Linked DNA regions of Cricetulus griseus. The protein of the gene in region 1 interacts with the protein of each later gene in a pairwise test. Links are inferred from orthologs where the notes say so. Each region holds a gene or a part of one and is shown on either strand. Other genes may lie near its edges.

What was found.
Region 2: the proteins of Sdcbp2 (region 1) and Zcchc17 interact in binary tests that used the Homo sapiens proteins (3 or more experiments, as listed by UniProt). The two-hybrid records come from large-scale screens. The link is inferred for Cricetulus griseus from reciprocal best matches to the Homo sapiens genes SDCBP2 and ZCCHC17.
Region 3: the proteins of Sdcbp2 (region 1) and Lyar interact in binary tests that used the Homo sapiens proteins (3 or more experiments, as listed by UniProt). The two-hybrid records come from large-scale screens. The link is inferred for Cricetulus griseus from reciprocal best matches to the Homo sapiens genes SDCBP2 and LYAR.
Region 4: the proteins of Sdcbp2 (region 1) and Zrsr2 interact in binary tests that used the Homo sapiens proteins (3 or more experiments, as listed by UniProt). The two-hybrid records come from large-scale screens. The link is inferred for Cricetulus griseus from reciprocal best matches to the Homo sapiens genes SDCBP2 and ZRSR2.

The regions. Positions count from the first base shown.
Region 1 is NC_048599.1:28,455,618-28,457,880, reverse strand, and holds part of Sdcbp2 (syntenin-2), read left to right. Parts: intron 1-173; coding exon 174-332; intron 333-916; coding exon 917-1,092; intron 1,093-1,172; coding exon 1,173-1,344; intron 1,345-2,263.
Region 2 is NC_048595.1:22,723,841-22,727,416, forward strand, and holds part of Zcchc17 (nucleolar protein of 40 kDa), read left to right. Parts: intron 1-3,309; coding exon 3,310-3,410; intron 3,411-3,576.
Region 3 is NW_023276807.1:107,185,723-107,188,035, forward strand, and holds the end of Lyar (cell growth-regulating nucleolar protein), read left to right. Parts: intron 1-566; coding exon 567-652; intron 653-1,445; coding exon 1,446-1,580; 3' UTR 1,581-1,753; downstream 1,754-2,313. UniProt on the Homo sapiens protein: Plays a role in the maintenance of the appropriate processing of 47S/45S pre-rRNA to 32S/30S pre-rRNAs and their subsequent processing to produce 18S and 28S rRNAs. Also acts at the level of transcription regulation.
Region 4 is NC_048604.1:98,761,270-98,764,845, forward strand, and holds part of Zrsr2 (U2 small nuclear ribonucleoprotein auxiliary factor 35 kDa subunit-related protein 2), read right to left. Parts: intron 3,302-3,576; coding exon 3,192-3,301; intron 882-3,191; coding exon 283-881; 3' UTR 1-282. UniProt on the Homo sapiens protein: Pre-mRNA-binding protein required for splicing of both U2- and U12-type introns. Selectively interacts with the 3'-splice site of U2- and U12-type pre-mRNAs and promotes different steps in U2 and U12 intron splicing.

The DNA.
Region 1 (2,263 bases):
GTGTGTGTGTGTGTGTGTGTGTGTGTGTGTGTGTGTGTGTGTGTGTGTGTGTGTGTGTGTGTGACCTCAGGGACTGTTCCACCCTCTTACTTATCCCTCCCTAGAACCCAGAGGCCCTTGAGGCATGGGCCCCAGGTGCCTGGCTGACCCCCCCCCCACTACTGTGTCTGCAGATGGTGGTCACTAGCCCTGGGCCTGGCCACGTGGTAGCACCAGTCTCTGGGAACAACCTGGGTGTGTTGCGTGCAGAGATCAAGCCTGGGGTGCGTGAGATCCATCTGTGCAAGGATGAGCGTGGCAAGACTGGACTGCGCCTGCAGGCTGTCGATAAGGTAAAGATCTGTGGAGGAGCCCCTGGGGGACAGTGTGCCCCTCTGGTGCTAAGTAGCACTTGTCACAGTCCCAGGGATATAAGCTCCCCTTTGGGGGCAGTTTCCTGGCAGTCTGAGATGGCGTAGTGTATAGGGGCCTCCCCTCCCAGGTCTCAGAGAGCCTCTGTCCACAGTAAGGAAGGTTCCATGCAGGCACCTTAATACCTGAGGCCTCAAGGTATGCCTAGTTGCAGCAGGGATCCTCTTTCAGTCCCATACAAGGCTCCTTTTACTCAGAGCCCCGTTTCCAGTACCCCAACTCCCATGGACCTGGCTTCCTGATGACTGTAGAGAAAGTCAGCCAGATGCCTTTGGGAAGGGTGGTACGGGAGAATTGATTGTGATGCTGAAATCCTGATTTGGCATATGCTGGGTCGTCTGGTGTGTTTCCTCCTCCAGGAAAATAGCCATAACCTGTGTGTCCCCCAGAAGATCTTAGGTCCCACCACACTGTAAGCTCACAGGGTAAGGGGAAAGGGACATCTTAGAGGAGGGGCCTAGGCTCAGGCAGCCAGGGGTGCTGACTCTGGAGTCTTGCTTCCCAGGGGCTCTTTGTGCAGCTTGTCCAGGCCAACACTCCTGCATCCCTCGTGGGGTTGCGCTTTGGGGATCAGATCCTGCAGATTGATGGGTGTGACTGTGCTGGGTGGAGCACATACAAAGCTCACAAAGCATTGAAGAAGGCGTCAGCAGAAAAGATCACCATGATTGTTCGTGACAGGTCAGTAGCCAGGTCCCAGCATCCTCCCTGCCTGGCCCCAGCCACACCCACAAGCCCAGCTTACTGTCACTCTCTACCAGGCCGTTCCAGCGGACTGTCACTATGCACAAGGACAGCTCAGGCCAAGTTGGCTTTTTCATCAAGAAGGGGAAGATTGTATCTGTGGTAAAGGGAAGCTCTGCAGCCCGTAACGGGCTTCTCACTAACCACTACGTGTGTGAGGTGAACGGACAGAACGTCATTGGGCTAAAGGTAGGCACTGTGGAGATGGTAGGGGTGGGGCGGCTCCTGTCTGCATAGGCTGTAGAACCTGCCAGAGCCTCAACATGCCCATCCTAAGGTAGATGGGGGCTTCAGTAGGACTGTGTGGAGCTATGAGCAGTGTCACTCGGAATGAGTAGGTGCCCAATAAGAATCCACTATAGATACTAACACGCAAGATGGGCCAGCAGGTACCCTAATGTGTGAGGACCTGGGCTCACTGGTGGCTGCTGGCCACAAGGACACCTCCTCCTCTGTGTGGCATTTCTCTTTGGATGCTGATCACATTCAGTAATGGGGATTTCCTTTAGAAAACGGTGATGTGGACATCCATTTCTGGCCTTGGCTTATTCAGGGAAGGCAGGTGAATTCTATCTTTACAATGCAAGAAGGTATACCCGGCTTTAGGCTGGTGCTGTAGATGTGGGAAGAGAGGTGTCTTCTGGGAAGGGGCAGTAATGAGCTGTGGTCTGAGACTTGAACAAGTGAGAGCGACCAGTCCTGATTCATGCCACTACAGTGGGAGTGCCTCTCCAGCAGGTGGTGCTCATGGGGCAGGTGGTGGCATCTCACTCCACAGTGGGCCATGTGTCTGCTTCCTTGTCCCTGGCAGTCTCCCTTCACCTTTCATGGAGACTTGTTCTGGTGGCTGTACTATTGTGGCCAGGGAGTTCTATGTCTGAGATCCCTCCTGGTGAGCCTGCTCCCAGTACTCTGTGATCAAGCCTACCAGGCAAAAGGCCATCACCGTCAACGCTTGAAAGGCTGAGTGCAATAATGCCACTCCTGAGCAGCTAGGAGTGGCTTCTTTGAAAAGATAACAGTCAGCCAGGTGGTGGTGGTGCACTCCTTTAATCCCAGCACTCGGGAGGTAGAGGCAGGCAGATCTTTGTGAGTTCAAGACCATACT
Region 2 (3,576 bases), on another chromosome or scaffold:
AGCCCAGGCTGGCCTGGAACTCAGAATTCCACCTGCCTCAGCCTCCCAAGTGCTGGGATTAAAGGCTGGCACTACATCTCATAGCTAGTGTTATTTTCATCAGAGCATTCATTTGGTAGCTTGAGGAGGAGGAGTTTATTTCAGGTCTTGATGTTCAGCGAGAAGGTGACATTTGACCTAGGTCTTAGGAATGGATATGGGCCGGGCATGATGGCTCACATCTTTAATCCCAGCACTCAAGAGGCAGAGGCAGGCGGATCTCTGTGAGGTTGAGGTCAGCCTGGTCTCCAGAGCATGTTCCAGGACAGCCAAAGATACACAGAGAAACCCTTTCTCAAAAAAACAAACAAAAAAGAAATGGATATGGCATTTTCAAGAAGCAGAAGGAATGGTGCTTTGGGAAGTGAAATGACTTAGGAAAGGCACAGGCAGGAGAGCAACAGCATATCAGGGTGTCCTGTGAGTGGGAGAGGTGACCAGTCAAATCTGTCTCTTCAGGCCCTCATTGATATCTTTTCCTTACTGTGACCAGCATTTTATGATAGTTCTGGACATTGAACCTCAGGCCTAGAACATCCTAGGCATATGCCCTTGGCTCATTGCTCCTGTCAGTACTAACACTGGCACATACCACTTAATAATTGAATTGAGTGAATTGGATGAAAAAAAGACAGACAACCTTTCACAGGGGCTGTGACCCACAGGTTGAGAACCACCGCTCTATGTGACCTGTGATGAAGCCTGACCTACACATAGCAGTGAGGGCAGAGAGGGATCTGAAGGTGAGACCCTTGTGTGGGAGGTCTGGCTGGCCATGTGGTGTGTTAGAACCCTAGAGTGTTGAGATTGATTTTAACGAGGACGTGTTTAAGCTGTGGCTCAGGGCCTCTTAGAACTCTGCTCTTCAAATCAGGACACCTGAAAACTTGCTCTATGTTCCCAGTGCCTGTCTTGGTTTTTGTTATTCAGACTTTATTATGTTTTGAAGGGGCCCATTTCTATAACCCACACCAGATAGTTGACTCTTTATGCATTTAGATTCTTCTAGGGCAAAGGCCAGACATTTGTGCAAACATTTTCAGAACTTAAATTATATGCTTATCTGTACTGTCCACCTAGGTAGCCACAAATAACATGGGGTTATTCAAATGTAAATTCATGAAAATTAAGTAAAATTTAAGCACTGGGTCTGATGGTGCAGACTCGTAGCCCTAGCTAGTCCAGGCAGCTTAGCAAGACTCCTATTTCAAAACAAAAAGTAAACAGAGGCTGGGGATGAAGCTTACAATCCAGTGCTTGCCTAGTGTGGATGAAGCCCTAGGTTCAGCCTTCAGTATCCCAAACAGTAGAAATAAGTAAGTGGAATTTAATATCTTTTTTTAAAAATCTGTATAGGTATTTTACTTGCATGTATGTTTGCATACCACTTGTGTCTGGTGCCCTCAGAGTTCAGGAGAGGGTGTTGGTTCCCCTGGAATTAGAGTACAGATGATTATAAGCCACTATTTTGGTGCTGGGAATTAAACCCCAACCCTTCGGAAGAGCAACAAGTGCTCTTAACCCACAAAAGTGCTTCAACCCCATGAGTTTAATATCTTAATTCATTAATCACGCAGCCACATGCCTTCAGTTCCAGCAGAGGCAGGTGGATCTCTGTAAAGTCAAGACTGTCTTTGTCAACAGCACAATAATACCATACACCAATGAGAATAAATGATTCATAACTATAGACAACAATGTGGATATGTTTCACGGACAATAGAACTATACAGGAAATATCGTGTGTTGGGGTATATCTTTGAAACCAGGGCTTTTTGTATGCTAGACATTTGTTCTTAAAAGTGTGTTAACATCTCAGGTACTCTACTACTTTTATTTTGAGACATAGCTTTGCTAAATTGCTCAGGCTAGTCTTGAACTCTTGAAACTCCTCAGGCTCCCCAGTCCTAGGATTATAGATGTGTACCATCACTGCCAGCTACTGTAAAGAGAAAAGTGGTTTTGTGTTGTTAGAAGAAAAAAATAGCAGTTACTCTGGGAGTAAGCTTGATGACTAGCAGTAAGCATGAGATGATTGGTTTTTGTTGTTTTTGGATACAGGGTTTCTCTGTGTAGCCCTGGCTGTCCTGGAACTCACTCTGTAGACCATTCTGGCCTCAAACTCACCAACATCCTACCTGCCTCTGCCTCCCGAGTGCTGGGATTAAAGGCGTGCGCCACCACTGCCTGGCTGACATGTCTGTTTTAAGAGAGGTTGGTTGTGTTGTTATCCATCCTGGTACTGGTTACATGGGAAAGTGCAGACTGAAAACTAAGTGGGCTCATACTTGCTCTAAGTGGCTTCCATGTGAGTCTTTTATACAGGAGCTTATTATGCTCATTAAGAGTGTAACAGGAGCTGGGCGGTGGTGGCGCACGCCTTTAATCCCAGCACTCGGGAGGCGGAGGCAGGCAGATCTCTGTGAGTTTGAGACCAGCCTGGTCTACAAGACCTAGTTCCAGGACAGCCTCCAAAGACACAGAGAAACCCGGTCTAAAAAACCAAAAAAAAAAAAAAAAAAAAAAAGAAAGAAAAGAAAAGAGTGTAACAGGAATAGAAAAATCTCTTATGGCCTAGGGACTTAGAGAAGAAGACTTGAAGAAAAGAACCTTGCGGTGTTTGGGTAATGCATTGTTGAGGTAGAGTAAGGGAGGGCAGGGCATTTCAAAGTGGCATCTGCCTACGGAAAGGCACTGAACCACTGGGAAAAGGAGAACTGACTTGTTGGCCAGGGCCTAAGTAAAATAAAGAGGAAACTGGAGAAGTATGTTTGAGACAAACTGAAAGCCCCAACACCAAGGTCTTATAAGGAACTTGGACTTGATTTTTAGAAAGCCTGTAAAGCTGCACCACCACCTGCCAATTAAACTTTCAAATATTTTTTCTGTATATTATTGAGAGGAGACCTAATATCATTCATAATTGTTCATTCAAAGCCCCATTCTGGGCCAGGCAGTGGTGGCGAACACCTTTAATCCCAGTCAGAGGCAGGTGGATCTCCATGAGGTCAGCCTGGTCTACAGAGTGAGTTCCAGGAGAGCCAGGCTATACAGAGAAACCCTGTCTCCAAAAATAAAGCTTATTGTAAACATGGAAAAAAACAAAAAAAAGAAGGAGCTATTTCACTGTCTCTTTCTGCCCAATGCTTTTCTTTTCTCCCTCTCTTCCTTGCCAAAAGCAAAACAGAAAACCAACAAGCAGCATTATGTTGTAATATATCTGACCACTTCTCTGAGAAGCTCCAGTGGTCAGGATCTCTTTCATTACAGGCAAGAAGAGAGGCGGAGGCGCTCCTTCCAGGATTACACTGGGCAGAAGATCACCCTTGAGGCTGTCCTGAACACTACCTGCAAGAAGTGTGGCTGCAAAGGTATGAGAAGTCTGCCATTTCTGTCTCCTCCCCTGTGCACTGTCTACTGGCTGAAGGAGGCCATGTCAGTTTAGCTCGGTGCGTTTTTCAGTGACTGCTACCTGCATTCATTCATACCATCCGTCTTCTGCCACACTGTCCCCAAGCACAAGCACTCTTCTGTAGA
Region 3 (2,313 bases), on another chromosome or scaffold:
TGTCAGTGTTGGTGGTGGACAGGCCTTCCTTTTCTTTGCTCATTTGCTGAATCTGAGATGTGGGCTAGGCTGGCTTGTACCTGGTGGCCTTCTCAGTCACTGGCTTTCTTGGCTCCAAATCTAGACTGTGGAGCAGAAGAGCCTGTCCCATGGTAGGCCCTGAGACACTGCCAGTCACCACCTTTGCGTGTTTTAGGTTTGCTGAGTCTGGCATTCAGTTAGAGTTTGGCCTAGCAGAAAAAGCAGGAGCAGGCTGAACTCAGCTGCATCTTCTATACTACAGGATGTATGTGGATGCCTAGTTCAGTGCGTCTTTTGATTCTTTCTCCCCAGAGGTTGTCCCTATCATGCTGCTTGTGAGGACCATCCCTCCATACTGGGTACATTGCTTTCTGAAAGACAGTTGGTCTCTGGAAGCCTCTGCTACTGGGCTAGCGAATGACTTGGGGTCTTGTTCATGGGAGAGTCATGTTATTTCCCAGGAAGCACACAACTGTGAAGACATTTTTTTCTTTGCCCTTTGGTGGCAAGACAAAAGGCCTTATTCATCATTCCTTGCGTTGTAGGTAAATTCAACTGGAAGGGGACCATTAAAGCCGTTCTGAAACAGGCTCCAGACAATGAGATATCCATCAAAAAGTTAAAGAAAAAGGTACGTCTTGCAACAAAATAAGGCATGGAACACCTGGAAAGGGGTTGTTTCTAAATGTGTATGTGTGTTGTTTAACCTGAAACACTCAGACAGACAGACAGACAGACTGACAGACGTCAAGAGCTGTTCACATGTGCAACTGGAACAAGCCCACTCTCCTGCAGCCAAGCTAGGGTAGCTCTCTGACTCTGGACCTATCTGAAGATTGCATGTACTGTCTACAGTTGACTGTACTGGAAATGACCAGAAGTAATTTTTCTAGATACTTTGCTCTCTTTTGCTGATATTAAATGGTTGCTGGTGCTTTTTCCAGTTATTGCATCTATTTACTTATGAGAGTGTGTGCATAAATGTGGAGGTCAGAGTACAACTTGAAGGAGTGTTTTCTCCTTCCACCATTTGAGCCCTAGGGATTGAACTAAGTCATCAGGCTTGCACGGCAAGTCCCTTCCATTGAGCCATCTCACCTGACACACACACACACACACACACACACACACACACACACACACACACACACACACACACACACACACACACACACACACGCCTTTTTTAAAAAAATTCTGTAGCTGTGTGTGACGTGCAGTTGTGTACACATGGGCAGCTGCTGGGTCTTCACAAGCAGTACATGCTTGTGTGACCAGCTTCTGGGCTTCTTTTATTTTGTAATGTGGACCCACATCTGCACCTTTTTCCGTGTACTTCAACCCCAAAGAAGCCTAGACAGGTAGATTTGCCAAGCACATCTACAACAGGCCTCCATATCTGACATCTGTCTCTCTTTGCAAAGGTTATAGCTCAGTACCACGCAGTGACAAGCGACCATCACATGTCAGAGGAGGAGCTCCTGGCCATCTTCAACAAGAAAATTAGCAAGAACCCCACCTTTAAGGTGCTGAAGGACAGAGTCAAGCTTCTGAAGTGAATGCACCGTCACTTCACACACTTTTGACTGCTTCCCTGTACTGTTTGTAAAATGTGTAATGAATTATAACAACCCGAATTTTTGCTTTCTGAAACTATTTTTAAGTTAAGGAAAAAATATATTTTTGTTAAAACGTTTATGAAAAAAATAAAATATATTCTTGTCGAATTCTATATCAATAGTAAAAAAAATCATGTACTTAAAGAAAACACTGCAGGAAACTTTAGAATGTAATGTGATGCCAAGTGAAGATGGGTTTCCCCATTTGGTGAGGTGGGGAGGTGTTGGTTAGTCACATCCCTCTGTGTGCCTCCAACCAGAGATGCTGCCTGATAGAGCTGCAGTGTGAATTTCTAAGTGGTGGTGACTGGGATTTTAGGAGTGATGATCCTTGTTTAGCCACAGGTGACAATCTATAGAGGAGACATGTCTAACAGATTAGCCCATGCAGCCTTCTTGTCAGGAACACATTGAGAAGTGTAGCCTGTGGGGGTGGCTGTAAGCATAAGAAAGCCCATCTGCTTCTCATGCTCTCGGCAGCGCCTGCTCCAGTGCTGGCACTGTGTGTCCTGGTGGAGCCCTGCACCACCACCTACTGAGAGCTGGTGTTTTGCCCACAAATCCCTTAAGCCTTCAGCAAGAATTACCCCTTTGGCAGTGTCACTATTCACTCATCCTTGGGGTGAAAGCAAGATGGATACAGAACAGATGCTGCAAGGATAATCATGTGTCC
Region 4 (3,576 bases), on another chromosome or scaffold:
TGGATCTCACTGTAACTGAACCCTGAAAATTGTTCTCTGACCTCCGTGCTTGTGATCCACTTACACAGAGAGAGAGAGAGAAATACAGAAAATGAAAAAAATACTAAAGCATTACTCCAATGTTACTTGATGCTCTCAAAGTTAGGACTACAAGTAATTTCATGTTATTATATACACAATTTATCAAAAAGTATGATTTACATAATAGTTTGGCTAGCCTTGTCAAACTATACAGGTGAGTAGCTGCCATAAAAAGACAATGATATTTAAAAACAACCAAGTTTATTTAGATTTGGGACTCTGGGTGGTTTTGTCTCTACTACCTGACTTCTTCCTGCCATGACTCCTGGACCTTGATGAGCTCTGGCTCCGGCTCCGGCTCCGACTCTGACTCCGACTTCGGCTCCCGCTTTGGCTTCGGGTCCGACTGCGGCTGCGGCTTCGGCTCCGGCTCCGGCTGCGGCTCCTGCGGCACCGGCTCCGGCTCCTGCGGTTCCTCCGGCTCTGATTCCAGGGGCATGGACTGTGATCCCTTCTTCTTCCTCTGGTCAGTGAACTGCGCCTCTCACGACTTTTCGTCACGTGTTTGTGAGACTTCTTCCCCCTGTGATTACTCCTGCTCTTCCTGTCAGACTCACCGTTTCTCTTGTAGGAGAGGTCTGGACTCAGGCTCCTTCGTCTTCTTGACCTGCCATAGTATATATCATCATAGTGGCTGGTCCTTTCCCTCCTCTCAAAATTCTTACCGAAGGACGAACTAGTCCAATCTGGAGACTGGTAGATGTCTCTGTTGGCTTCCCTAAATTCGTTGTTGGGATTTCTGAACACGTGAAGAAAGTTGCAATGTTTTCCTCTTGGACACTGCTGTACTTCAAATAATCCTGTGAGGGCAAGTGAAGAGGCAGTGATTATCAGCGTGCATTACTGTAATTCATTCTTTTTCAGAAGGTGAATTTCTGAAGTCAGGGTATGTCTGCACTGTTTCTTACAGTGTATGATGTAGATAAACTGAGGTGGTGCCTAAGATTGCAAGAACACTCGAATACTAAAAGGTACCATAAAAAAGGCTGCAAACTAGCTTTAATTAATCAGAACACCTGTGCCTTGTGTCAGCAGAGTGCAAGTGAACTGATTCAAGAACTGGATTTTGGAATCCCTATATTCACATTTTTCTGAAAGCATAGGTTGGTCAGGAGAAGGTCCAACATGGGAGGGGATTCTGCAATGTTCTATACATAATAAGAACATTAATACCCAGGTATGATGGCACACTTATGTCCACAGCCTGGGGTACATGAGGTCCTGTCTCTAAACACACACACACAAAAGAGAGAGAAAACAAGAAAGAAAGAAATCCTTTGTGGCTAAAGGTAAATAAAGTAAAATGATGAGATAGCATTTGCAGATGACCTCTGTGATCAGGTACTGGTATATAAAATCAAGAATTTCTATAGCTGAATAAAAACAAGATGTAACATGATTAAAAATGGGCAACTATCTAAATAGAGATCTCTCCAAAGAAGATACACCAGATGTCAATAATAAGGACACAAAAAAGTTATTAGTTCCTGAGAAAGATCCTAAAAGCTATTTATATTTTTTGTCATTGATGTTGTTGTTGTTGCTTTTAGTAACATTCCTTGTTTGGCGGTTTCAAAATTGTATTCAAACCTATCACTGAAATCACAGAGTGCATCTTGAGGAACTACCAAAACTATAAGCCTAAAGAGAATACCCTGTCATCTTGCTCATCTGCCCAACCCTTAAACTTAGGGCATAATGTTGGTTCTCATTTTCAAGGAATTCTAAAATTCTCTCTCTCTCTCTCTCTCTCTCTCTCTCTCTCTCTCCTCCTCTCTCCCTCTGTGTGTTGTGTGTGTGTGTGGTGTGTGTGTGTGTGTGTGTGTGTGTCTGTAGACCAGGGTGACCTTGAACTCAAAAAGATCTGCCTGCCTCTGCCTCCCAGGTGCTGGGATTAAAGGCGAGCACCACCACTGTCCAGCTTTTTTTATTTATTTTAAAACTTTTTAAGGTTTATTTAATTTATGTATATGAGTGTTTTGTCTGCATTTATGTATGTGCACCATGTACATGCCTGGTGCCCATGAAGATCAGAAGAGGGTATCAGAATCCCTGAAACAGGAGTTACAGTCAGTGATGAGCCAACATGTAGGTGTTGAGAACTGAACCTGGGTCCTCTATAAGAACAAGTGCTCTTAACCACTGAGCCATCTCTCTAACTCCTCCTTTTTGATAATTGTTACATTAATTAATCAATTAATTAGTTTATTTATTTCAAACCCAAGCTGGCCTTGAACTCACAATCCTTGTGTCTTGACCTACCCCCAATTTTGGAACCAAAGGTGTCATCATACATGCCCATCATAAATGTTTTGTTTTTAATGACAGTATACATTAACAGAAGACTGCTAAAGATTTAGACTTGCTTGATAAAAAGCACCTGAGAAGGAAGAGCAGCGAAAACAAGAAGGCAGAAGCACACACACCCCTGAGGCATTAGAGCTTCATGTCTCTTCACCTGGGGAACTTCCATACTGATTTGGCTAAGCACACTTTTAGAAATCAGAAAATGATGAGGCCATCAAAGCGGCTGGTTACTCTCTGCAGTGCTGAATCATTTCCTGGTTTGGCTGCCGATCTCGGATGAGTCAGTATAACTGAGAGCACCCAATGTGCAACTTAACTCATTCACACCTACCAAACGGTCTCAAATGCACAAGAGCATGACTTCAAGCAATGTGGGCAATGTTAGCCACCAGTAATGTTTGTGGCGTTGATGATGGAAGATTCCTTAGGGATCAAGACTGAAGCAAACAGCTCAAGTGAGGAGAACCAACGAAAACACCTTTGAAACTGCAACACGGATCATGTAGGTATCTTTAGTTTAGACACTGCATTGTCACACACAGAACCCAGGTCTGAGGATCTGAAGACTCAAATTCAAGATGCAATCCTGTTACCAATGTATAGTGACCTCAGTCATTCATCCATATAGTGACCCACAGGCCTGTGCAGATCTAAACTGTGGTGTCCTTTACATAACCACTCTGCTCATCTGTAGTATGAGACAAAAACTGTACTTCATCCCTTTAAAATACTGCTTTCTTCCTATGAAGATTCCCTTGTATAGTGCAGCAGTGGGGGAGGGGTGCCACTACATTGGCTTTTACCACAAATTGCCATTTTCCACCGGGTCACTGGGCAGAATTCGCACTGAAGCTGTCGTCCTGCATACCATCGTCCATTAAAAAGAGAAAAAGCTGCTTGACAGTCTTCTTCCCTTGGAAGCAAAAATCAAAGGTTGTGCTTTTAACTCTCACAGGTAGAGCAAATCTATTCTGAATTAACCCTCTTGTCCATTTACTGTAGGACTACCAAGTCCAGTTCTTGAATTGCCTAGGAAGTCTTCGGAGTATTCAGGTTCCCACAGGCTAGTTTATTCAAAGACCTTGTCATGAACCCTCTGAAAGGTTCTGTCATAGGGAAATTGGCTGGAGTCAAAGCTTCTTAATCTGCAAGATTGGACCACTAAATCTGCAGAGGTGTGTTTCCCCT